Oryctolagus cuniculus: one gene and its partners. The protein of the gene in region 3 interacts with the protein of the main gene of each other region in a biochemical or structural test. Links are inferred from orthologs where the notes say so. Each region holds a gene or a part of one and is shown on either strand. Other genes may lie near its edges. The genes, in order: KHDRBS1, SOS1 and GRB2.

Region 1 (3,752 bases), on a different chromosome or scaffold from region 3:
GTCTGTAAACTCTACATGTCAAATAAATTAAAAAAAAAAAAAAAAGAATAACTTCTAGTGTTGTCATGAATATGTAAAGTGCTCTAATCCAGGGCCTGACACAACGTTAGCTGTTTTTCTAATATATGTTCTCAGGGATTAAACACTATTCTTTCTTCTCAGTCTCATTTCCTTATGATTGGTTGACTTCACTGTAATCTCTTCTCTAGAAATACCTTAAGAACCATATCCAACAAACATTAAGACTTTTCTATGCTAAGAAGTATCCACACAACCCAATTTTGTTCTCAATATTTCCATCCTCTTTAGGTTAAAAAAAAAAGGCATTAAAAAAGCCCAAGTTTGAAAAAAAATAAGGAGCAGTGAGAGAATGAAAAATATAAATAATCTTTAAGGATCAATGATTTTTAATGGTTATCCTAAGAAACTATCTTAAAAGATGAACATCACGCTGGGCAATGGAGATAGTCAGAAGGGCAAAATATATCTTAAGTTCTCATACCTTGTTCATTACCATGGATTCACAACCAGAAAAAAATTGTGGTGACAGCTTCTTCTAGCTAATGATACAGATCAAAAGAAACTGCTGGTGATTTTACAGATCATTTAATCTTCCAAACTTACCATCCACTTTACAAATGAGGTTACTGAGGTTCAGAAAGCTTCCCCAGAGCCGGTAACTAATTAAGGGCCAGCGCTGAGAACCAAGTCAACACCTTTAGGCTCTAAAGTGTACTTTATTCTCCTGCGTTTAATGCAATGCGTACTGCCTGAAGATTTGAGAAAATTAAAAATCCGACTGCTAAACCAAACTTTACCAATTAGTCTGACATTCCTGAGTTTGCATGTGTACATTTTCAAACACCTGGAGTTTGCTATGTCCAGCACAGTACCAAAAAACATGTTTAAATATAAAAAGCAATTCTTGCTCTCAAAGAGCCTGTCAGAAGAAAACAGGAAAAGTAGAATGTGGTTATATAGGACAGCACAGAACTGAGTTAAAGATCTTAAGCAATTTATCGAAATTTTCTAATTGTTTATTGCGTTAAAAAAAAAAAAAAACCCTTACCAGTGTTGGGAGAGAGAACAAAGGGAAGGAAATGAGATTTTCATAATGAACTGTCAATGAACTGTCCCTTGTATCAATCTTGTCAATGGCTCCGACTTCTCATTCAGCGTCGAAGGCCATGAACTGTTACTCTACCATTTAGGTATAATAAATATTTCTTTGAAAAACATTTCTAACTATAAGAAAAGGTCAAAAAGAGGCTGCAGTGAGAAATCAGAGCGATTAGGGAGGGGGTCAGGGCTGCCGAGGGAAGAAGCTCCCGTCCGCGGAGAACAAAGACTACCATTCCCATCTATCTCGCCACGGAAGCAAGAATGAACACAAAAGGCCAAGTCTTCCAGGTGCAGGCACCGAGCAACTTCTCTCCACGGTCCGTCCCTCGCGGTGGGGCCCGTCCTGGGAGCTCCCCTGCAGCCCTTACCGCCTCCCGTCATCTCATTTCACTGTCCCCAGGGCTGCTTCCCCGCTTCTTGAATGACGGTTGAAAGCACGTTGTAAAATAAAACGGCGACAACCTTCCGGCTCTGCACAATCCTCATTTCACCTGCCCGATTCGGACATCTGATTCGGAAAACCTCAAGCTCCGACTCCCACGAGTCGCTGTGCCTCGGCGCAACTCCAGCTCCCGTGACGGCCAAGTGCGGCCGGGCCCGCGAGACGCCCGCGCGCCGGCCAGGGCCCTCCGGCCTCCCACGATCCCCGCCGGCTCGGGCTGCCTGCAGCGCCGACACCCACGGCCGAGGCGCTCCCCGCCACCCAAGAGCCTTCCCCTCGGGGGGGACGCGGGAGATACGGGCTCATTTCTGGAAGAATCTGAGCACTCGGAGCGCGGGGCAGCTGCGAGAGGAGGGAGGGGGAGGGTCGGGAAGGGGGCGGGGAGCTCGGCGCTCGGAGATCTCCCAGTCGCTTTCGGGCGCCCGCAGCAACCCTGCGCCGGGGTGGGAAGGCGGGCTTCAGGCCCCCGAAGACGAGGGCCAGAGGGGGAGCTCCCGACCGCCACGGTCCCGAGGGACTGGGATGCCAGAGGAACAAAGCCGCTGCCAACCTCCTCCCGCACCCCTCCCGCCCCGGTGGTCCAGCGACCCCGAGGGACCCCGAGGCCCGCTCACCTGCAGTCAGCAGCTGCATGGCATGAGTGAAGGACGGGTCGAGCGAGTCCTTCTCGGCCATGAGTTCGGGCAGGTACTTGTTCTCAGGCTCCATCTTGACCGAGGCCGTGGCTGATGGGGGCAGCAGCGGGGTCGGCGCCGGACCACCCACCGTCGCGTCGGGACCCGTGGCCGAGGGCGGCAGCAGTGGCGGCGGCTGCGTGGCGGGCGAGGCCCGGGCGCCCCCCCGGGGCCCTCCTCCGCCTCCCCGGGACCGGTGAGGCAGCGGCGGTTGCCGAGACGGCGTCTGACGCACCGAGGGGTGGGCACCCGAGGGGTCCATGGAGCCACTGCGGCCCGAGGACCGGGTCATGCGCGCGGCGGGGTCGTCCCGGCGCTGCATCGCGGAGGATGTGCGATCGAGCGATCGAGGGGACCGACGCGGCCGAGGCCCGGGCGGCGGTTGGCGGCGGCGGTGGTAGAGCGGGAGCAACAGCGACCGAAGCCGACCCGAGCGACCCAGCCAGAGAGAGCACCGGAAATGAGGCAGCGCGCGTGCGCACCAAATCCCGGCACCGCCCTTGGGTTTCTCCGCGAAGAACAAAGTCCCCAGTCGGGCCACGGCGCCTGCGCACTGCCGTGGTGCCCGAACCGGAGGCCTCCCCCCTCCTCTTTTCCCTCGGAGCCCGCCAGGCCGGAGCTTGGCGCGCGTGCGCGGACGGCCGCGGGCTCCGTTCGTTTTTTCTCCCACGTGACTCGGCGCTAGCGGGACACGTGTCTCCTCCCCCTTCGGACCGGGTGCGCGGAGGGGGCGGGGGCTGTGGAATGTCTTTGTCTGAGCGCGGGCCGGCGGCGAGCGTGGGGCGGAGGTGGGGGGGAGACCTGTTACTCGTGGGCCACGCCCCCTCCAACGGCCGAGCCGCGGAGCCGGGCGGGGGGTGTGGGCCGGCCACCGGCGTGAAGACGTGCTGGCTGCGTGGGGCACGCGGGGAGGGAGGCGCAGGGAGAGGCTGACGCCGGGATGCGTGGTGGCGCTGGGGACGGCCGGCTGACTGGGAGACTTGAACTGAGAGGGCGGAGACCTGAAGCGTAGCAGGGAGCCCCGTGCTGTCCCGAGGTTTCCCGCACACTAGGTTCTGACACGCTAGCCGTGGTTAGTCGGGGAAGTCCGTCCGTGTCGCAGCCTGCTTCCCGCTTGAAGCGGTTATTTCGCGGAGTGAGCAGAGGCCGGGTCTCAGGCGGCCGTGCTGAGGCGAGGGCCTTGGGCAGCGGATCTCTCGCCCGAGGCCGGCTCGGGTCTGGGAGCTGCGTGCGGGGGAGCCCGGGTCTCTACTATCAGTCATCGAACGCCTGGCGCGTCTCTAACTTTCCCTTCCGGCCGCAGGTTTTTTTTTTTTTTTTTTTTCTTCACCCATTCAGAGTACTCCTTCCATCCCTTTTCCTTCCGGATCTGTTTCCTAAATGAGCTCGCGACTTTCAAAAGCGTCTCTGGAAACTGCCTGCTGGGTGCTTGGAAACGTGATTTCTGGATTTGAAGCTCAGACCCCTTTAATGAGGGAACATAAAGGCTTGGCTACGTTTTTTTACTAAAATGA
Region 2 (2,950 bases), on a different chromosome or scaffold from region 3:
AAGAACTGCTTGAAACCAAATTACTCTTACTTTACAGATTAAAACGTCATATTTCTTTAACCTTATCAATAGCTTTTGGTTTATAAAAACATACCCAAAACTAACTTCAGAAGAAAAGAAATAAACATGACTACATGAATCCTTATTAAACTAAGCCCAAATATTCTGAGATGTTCATCTATCCCAGTTTAAAATAAACTATATCTAAACAACTGATGATACTATAACTGTATTGATTCCAATTTCCAGATAACAAGATTTTCTACTTTACCTTAGATGGAGAAGATTCCGCTGGGGCAGATTCTGGTCGTCTTCGTGGAGGAACAGGAGGGGGGACAGGCACTTCATCAGTGCCCTTGGTTAAACTTATAGATGATACTGAAGCAGATCCTGTAGGATGTTACATTTTAAAAACAGTTCATGGGAATTTTATTTCATTTATTAATCTTGAAAAGATTTAGCTGGAAATTGATTATATCTATTAAAAGAACTATGTAGAAGTACCCAGTAGTATTTCATTTATTAAAGCAAACTGCTATAAATGCATGCAGAAATTTCTTAGCAGAATTTTTAGAAAAAAGCTGCCTAAGACACTGTTATTTTGATTCTTGAACAAAATAACATTCCCAGTGTCAATCTGTTATTGGGATTTTTAATTGAGTCTGATTCTCAGATTTTTGGGAGAGATAACAAACTATTAAAAAAATCTTTGGAATGGTAATTTTTGTTAAGTTTTGTGATGGGTTCATTTTTGCCTCTGACTTTGTTAGTATAGAAATTCCCAGGTCTTTCTGGATAGTTCCTGGGAATAGAGTTTCTGATCCTAACCTCTGTCCCCAGTGCCTCTCTCCAGCAGTTCTCTCAGTGGATGCAAGGGAAAGAATCTACTGTCCAGGGAAGGATTTCTCCGCATTTTGCTTAGGTATAGGTTATCCTTAGCGTATCAGCAAAATCAGCCTCTAATCTAAAAACTGGAGCTGCGATGAAACTATTTAAGATGACTAAGGCAGACACACAAAGTAAAGCTTCTACTGAGAACCTGTCTAACAGACATTTATGGTGACAAGGGCATAATGTAGGTATGTAAATCATTACACTCTGAAAGACAACACATGTGTAAGTTAGCTAGTTTATAAATACTATAAAAATGGACATGAAAAAATACTTAAGCCATCCAATCACTAAAATTATACTTGGTAGGATTTTTTTTCCCCTTTAGGCATTAAGCTTTTGTCAGTTAAATGTTACAAAATAATTTAAAAAGCACTTTGTGTTCTGAATTATTCAAATGATCAACTACCTTTTTCTTAAGAGACTATGTATACTAACTTTAGTGTACAATATTTTCCATTGTATAAATTTTGAAATCTTTTTTATGAAAGGACAGCAAAAATATTAATCTGTAAGCTTAATATAATTAAAATAATGGAATTGAATGGTTAGTTTACTTCAAAAGCAAAGAGCTACAATGCAACTTAATGATAACTACTTGGGCCTTATCATGTAAATAGCTGCAGTTATTTGCCTCCAGCCTAAGCTGTCTACCAAACTATGTATAGCTGTGATTCAGACACTGCTTTAGCTGCCAGCATTCCCATATGCGCATGCATGCTCTTGCTGCTGTTTTCAAAGTTGAGCAGTAAAATATATTCAGAACTCCATAGTGGGAAAAGAGAAATGGTTACATGGGGGAAGCCACTCATTTAATATGTTCTTTTAAAAGAGGGAAAAAAAAGTTTTTAAAAAAGCATGAAAAGTATATAAATTTAAGCAAATCACTTATGATTAAAAGATAGCACAAGTGAGGGCCTCACTTCTAAGATGTTGCAAGCAAGGTACCAATGCTGCCAGACCCAAGACGAGTTTTAGCAGGAAAGGTTACACTTGGTTTGATTTTTTAAAGCCAAAGCAAGAATTATGAGTCTTAAACCAAATATACTAACTTGGGCCATGGGGCAGTGTTACTTGGATAAAGACGGTATCGCTGCCTGTGAAAGGAAACAAGAAAAAGTAGATTTTTCTTTCATTGATATATTCAACCCATATGTAAAAATTTATGATGAAAGTGTTATTCTTGTCATTCTAATTCTAAAGAATGGTGTAACAATTTTTAATAAAAACTCATTATTACTTACTTTTGAGAAGAAAAAACTGAGTTAATATTTGGAACTTTGAAGATGTTTTAGATTTACTGTTTGATGTAATAATTAAATGACAAATATTCACAAGAAAACTATATTATTGTAAGACTAAGTTGCACAGATTAAATCAAGCAAAGAATTCAGGGGGCCATTCAGAAATGTCATTTACTAAAAATTATTTTGAAAATTCAAACTTGTGAAAGAAGTAATAAATAAGAAATTATTTTATACAAATTAAAAAGAAAAGGGAATTTCTTAGTACTTTATACTTTTGAAAAGTGTTCCTGGGACAGGTATTCTCATCACAAAATAACTACAGCTCTGGATATTCAAACAAGCTGAAAGTGATACAGCTTTTTTCCTTTTGTGGCAATAAACACTCTAAAAAAATCAGTAAAAGTTTGGGGCTGAAAGACATTTTTTGAAGGAAACTGATAAATTTAAAGTGTCTAATTTCAACAATATTAAAAAATGATGGTATAATTAGTACAATACAGAAATAAAATAAAATCACATCCGTTGACTATTACAGGTTGCAGTCTTTTTGAAAGAATTATACAGATGCATACACACTTATAGACATGGATGTAAAGTTGGCTTTGAACATGTTCACATATAGCATGGTCTTAGATTCAAACACTTGGTAAATTTGGGGCACATCTTTGGCCTTATTTCTTTTAACTCATTGGTTGGTCTCGCCATCTGGAAAATATTCTTAAGAATTCTCTTAGAATTTTATGCTGTCTAATCAAGAGATAGGTTAGAAATTCTTGTCAACTGGATGCTGAACAAATATACTGACCATGACT
Region 3 (3,217 bases):
GACTTGCTGGCTCCAGGGGTCTGAGCGGGGGTCTCTGGGGTCGGCAGGGTAGACAATACCCGGACCACAAGGCAAGGACTCAGATCCAGCCAGACGCCGTAGAGCTGCAGCCGGCCCTTCCCCGGCACACCAGGGCCGGCGGCTCCCTCAGACCCTGGCCTTCTGGCTTGGTACGGGTAGAACGCCCCCCTCCCCGCCTTCCGCTGTCTCCTCCCTCTACCCTGCTTTCCCCTCCCCTGAGGGAAAAGGATTTACAGAGAGTGGGAGACGAACCGGCTGGAAGGCCAATTTGGACTGTCTTTAATTTATCTGAAAACAAAACAAGTAAGACACATCCCTCCTAAGCAACCCGGGACATGGGGAAAGGCACCATGGGAAACAGCAATGCTCAGGGACGCCGCTCCCACGTGGAGCCAGCGACGGAGGCTTTCAGTCCGACTTTCTCAGGAAGCCGAGGGGCAGGTGACACGCCTCCCTCCCACCCCCGACAGAACAGCCCCAGGCTGGGCCCGCGGACGCCACCCTGACCCGGCAGAAGCTGCCCGCCTGCTCCTTTCTGTGTGCACGCACGGAGAACACAGCAGTAGTTGTTCCAACTAAACAGACATTTTGCATAGAGAAGATACCAGCGCACGTGGTTTCTTTTCTTTTATTATTGGCATCAGCTAGGACTATACGTGGCCTTACACGTCATGCACTGAAGAACGGGAGAAAAAGGACGAGAAAAAGGACAAAGGCGGGGCAAAGGAGCAGCGGTGAAAATCTGTAATAAAAACTCTTTTCTTAATAGGTAAGTTTTGGCATTTTTATATCCAATGCCCCCTCCCACCCCCCGAAGTTCCAACCCAGGTCAGAGAGTCACGGGCGTGAGGTGACCCAGCCAGGTGTCCGGGCTCCTGCAAGGCTGCTGGGAGAGGCAGCCCGGGGCTGTCATTCTTTCGTGTTTTCAACTTTTCACGGCTTTAAATAACCTCCCCTTGATTCTTAGACATTCCGGTTCACGGGGGTGACGTAATTGCGGGGGAACATGCCGGTCTGCCCGTGGCAAGCCCCCTTCCACCAGTTGGGGTCAGAGTTATCCATGACATGGATGAAATCTCCCCGGCGGAACCCCAGCTCTCCGTCCTCCTGGGGGTCAAAGTCAAAGAGGGCCTGGACGTACGTCGGCTGCTGCAAAAGAGGAGCAGGGAAAACACGCGTGTGACACCCCGAGCCTGGAGTCCTTCCTGCGCTGGGCACCCACGCTCGGGGGCTGCACTCCCCAGGGCGTGTCAGCAGCATAGTCAGCACCCCTGGGAGTCTGGGCTCCTGCACAGCCCAGGATCCAACACCTCTGAGCTCCTGTCGCTGCCAACACCCTCGAGGGTTTGCAGTCAAAACATCTGGATGAGCTTGAAAACATAAGGTGGTGGACTCAGCTGGGCCGCCAGGGACAGGCGCACAGGTGCGAGCACAGGCCCCAACCCTCCCTACAGGACACCCCTCACAGTTTTCTTCCCGGGACAGAATAGCTGACAGACAGGTGGTGAGCGAGCCACACACCTGACTGCAAACCGCAGGCCTCTGTGTGAGCTAAGGGTGATGTCCTGAGCACGGGGGCTGGAAGTGACCCTCTGAAAGGCACCTGCTCCTAACCGCTGGAGGTGAGCCCGACTCTGCCCCAGCCTTACCTGCGGCACCTGCTCTATGTCCCGCAGGAATATCTGCTGGTTTCTGGAGACAGACGTCGACCTGTGGTAATCCACCAGCTCATTCAAGGAGTTGAACTTCACCACCCAGAGGAAATACTTCCCCGCTCCGTCTCGGAGCACCTTGAAGTGCTGCACGTCATTTCCAAACCTGGGGGTGGGGCAGAGAACACAGCACGTGGGTCAAAGGGCTCTGGCCTGGCCCATGAGGCCCTCTGCCAAACAGGAGGGGTCCAGAGAAAGCCACTGTCTGGCAACGCTCCTCACAGCCTGCGGGCCGGTTGGCTACACGCCACTGAGCCTGGCTGGAGAGGGTGGGACGGCCGCTGAGCGTGCCGAGACCCTCACCGTGACTGACGGTCACCCGCAACAACACAAAGAGCCCTCACGGGACAGGCCAGGCCCCACTCGGTCTAATTCTACAGGCATTTATGGGATGGAGAATGAGGCCGGCGCTGCAGCACACTGCGCAGAGGCGCTGCCCGTGGCACCAGCATCCCATGCGGGTGTCAGTTCAAGCCCCAGATGCTCCATTTCTGACCCAGCTCCCTGCTAATGCAACTGGGAAAGCAGCAGAAGATGGTCCGATATCTGGGGCCCCTGCCGCCGTGTGGGAGACCTGGAAGAGGATCCTGGCTTCAGACCCGCCTAGTCCTCGTCATTGCGGCCATGTGGGGAGGTAACCAGAGCATGGAAGACCCCCCCCACCCGCCGCCGCCCCTACCGCTCTCTGTCTTTATCTCCTCTGTCTCTGCAACTCTGCCCTTCATGTAAATTACCTTTAAAAAAAAAAGGAATGTCCCAACCCATGCTGTGCCCTGCACTGTACCAACTACATCAGCCTCACTTAAGACAAGGAATATACCTTAATTAACTACGCTTCAAGCAAAAATAATTAAAATCTCAAAGGTGGGATAGAAAATAAGGTGAGGAAGCAGATACGCTCAACAAAGCTCCAGGTACCAGAAATACTCCAGTCATTTCCCACTTGGGGATTTGAGTTCTACTCACGGGATAAAGGCCGTGGGGGGAAAAAGGATGTACTGGGACAGCAAAAGAGGCCCAGGCACCAAAGTCCCCACACCCTCCATCGCCAGAAAATCCACTCCCCTTAATGCTGGCCAGCAACACAGAGCTGCCAGTGACACCTGCTGTCCCGTTCCCTGCTGAATCCTCCAAGGACTCAGTGAGCACGTGTTCCTCAAAGCCCTCCTTTGGGTCGGTATTGCGCCATAACAGGTAAAGCCCTCGCCTGCAATGCTGGCATTCCATACGAGCGACGGTCAAGTCTGGATGCTAATGGCGTAGGAAAAGCAGCAGACGAAGGCCCCAGTGCTTGGGTCCCTGCCACCCACGTGGCAGACTGGGAGGAAGCTCCCGGTTTCAGCCTGGCTTAGTGCTGGCCATTGCAGCCGATTTCTCTTTTTCTCTGCAACTCTTTCAAATAAGTAAATAGATAATTTTAACGTCAAAGGCCCTCCTTCAGTATTAAAGCCTAAAGAAGCCAACACTTTCCAAAAACAGCCAGC

The links.
Region 1: the proteins of GRB2 (region 3) and KHDRBS1 form a complex in vitro, tested with the Homo sapiens proteins (3 studies listed by BioGRID, with this or other methods). The link is inferred for Oryctolagus cuniculus from reciprocal best matches to the Homo sapiens genes GRB2 and KHDRBS1.
Region 2: the proteins of GRB2 (region 3) and SOS1 form a complex in vitro, tested with the Homo sapiens proteins (15 studies listed by BioGRID and IntAct, with this or other methods). The link is inferred for Oryctolagus cuniculus from reciprocal best matches to the Homo sapiens genes GRB2 and SOS1.

What each region holds. Positions count from the first base shown.
Region 1 is NC_091438.1:140,421,337-140,425,088, forward strand, and holds the start of KHDRBS1 (KH domain-containing, RNA-binding, signal transduction-associated protein 1), read right to left. Parts: upstream 2,782-3,752; 5' UTR 2,561-2,781; coding exon 2,179-2,560; intron 1-2,178. UniProt on the Homo sapiens protein: Recruited and tyrosine phosphorylated by several receptor systems, for example the T-cell, leptin and insulin receptors. Once phosphorylated, functions as an adapter protein in signal transduction cascades by binding to SH2 and SH3 domain-containing proteins.
Region 2 is NC_091433.1:163,884,150-163,887,099, reverse strand, and holds part of SOS1 (son of sevenless homolog 1), read right to left. Parts: exon of another isoform or gene 1,989-2,950; coding exon 1,944-1,988; exon of another isoform or gene 391-1,943; coding exon 272-390; exon of another isoform or gene 1-271.
Region 3 is NC_091448.1:5,230,647-5,233,863, reverse strand, and holds the end of GRB2 (growth factor receptor-bound protein 2), read right to left. Parts: intron 1,840-3,217; coding exon 1,671-1,839; intron 1,171-1,670; coding exon 985-1,170; 3' UTR 636-984; downstream 1-635. UniProt on the Homo sapiens protein: Non-enzymatic adapter protein that plays a pivotal role in precisely regulated signaling cascades from cell surface receptors to cellular responses, including signaling transduction and gene expression.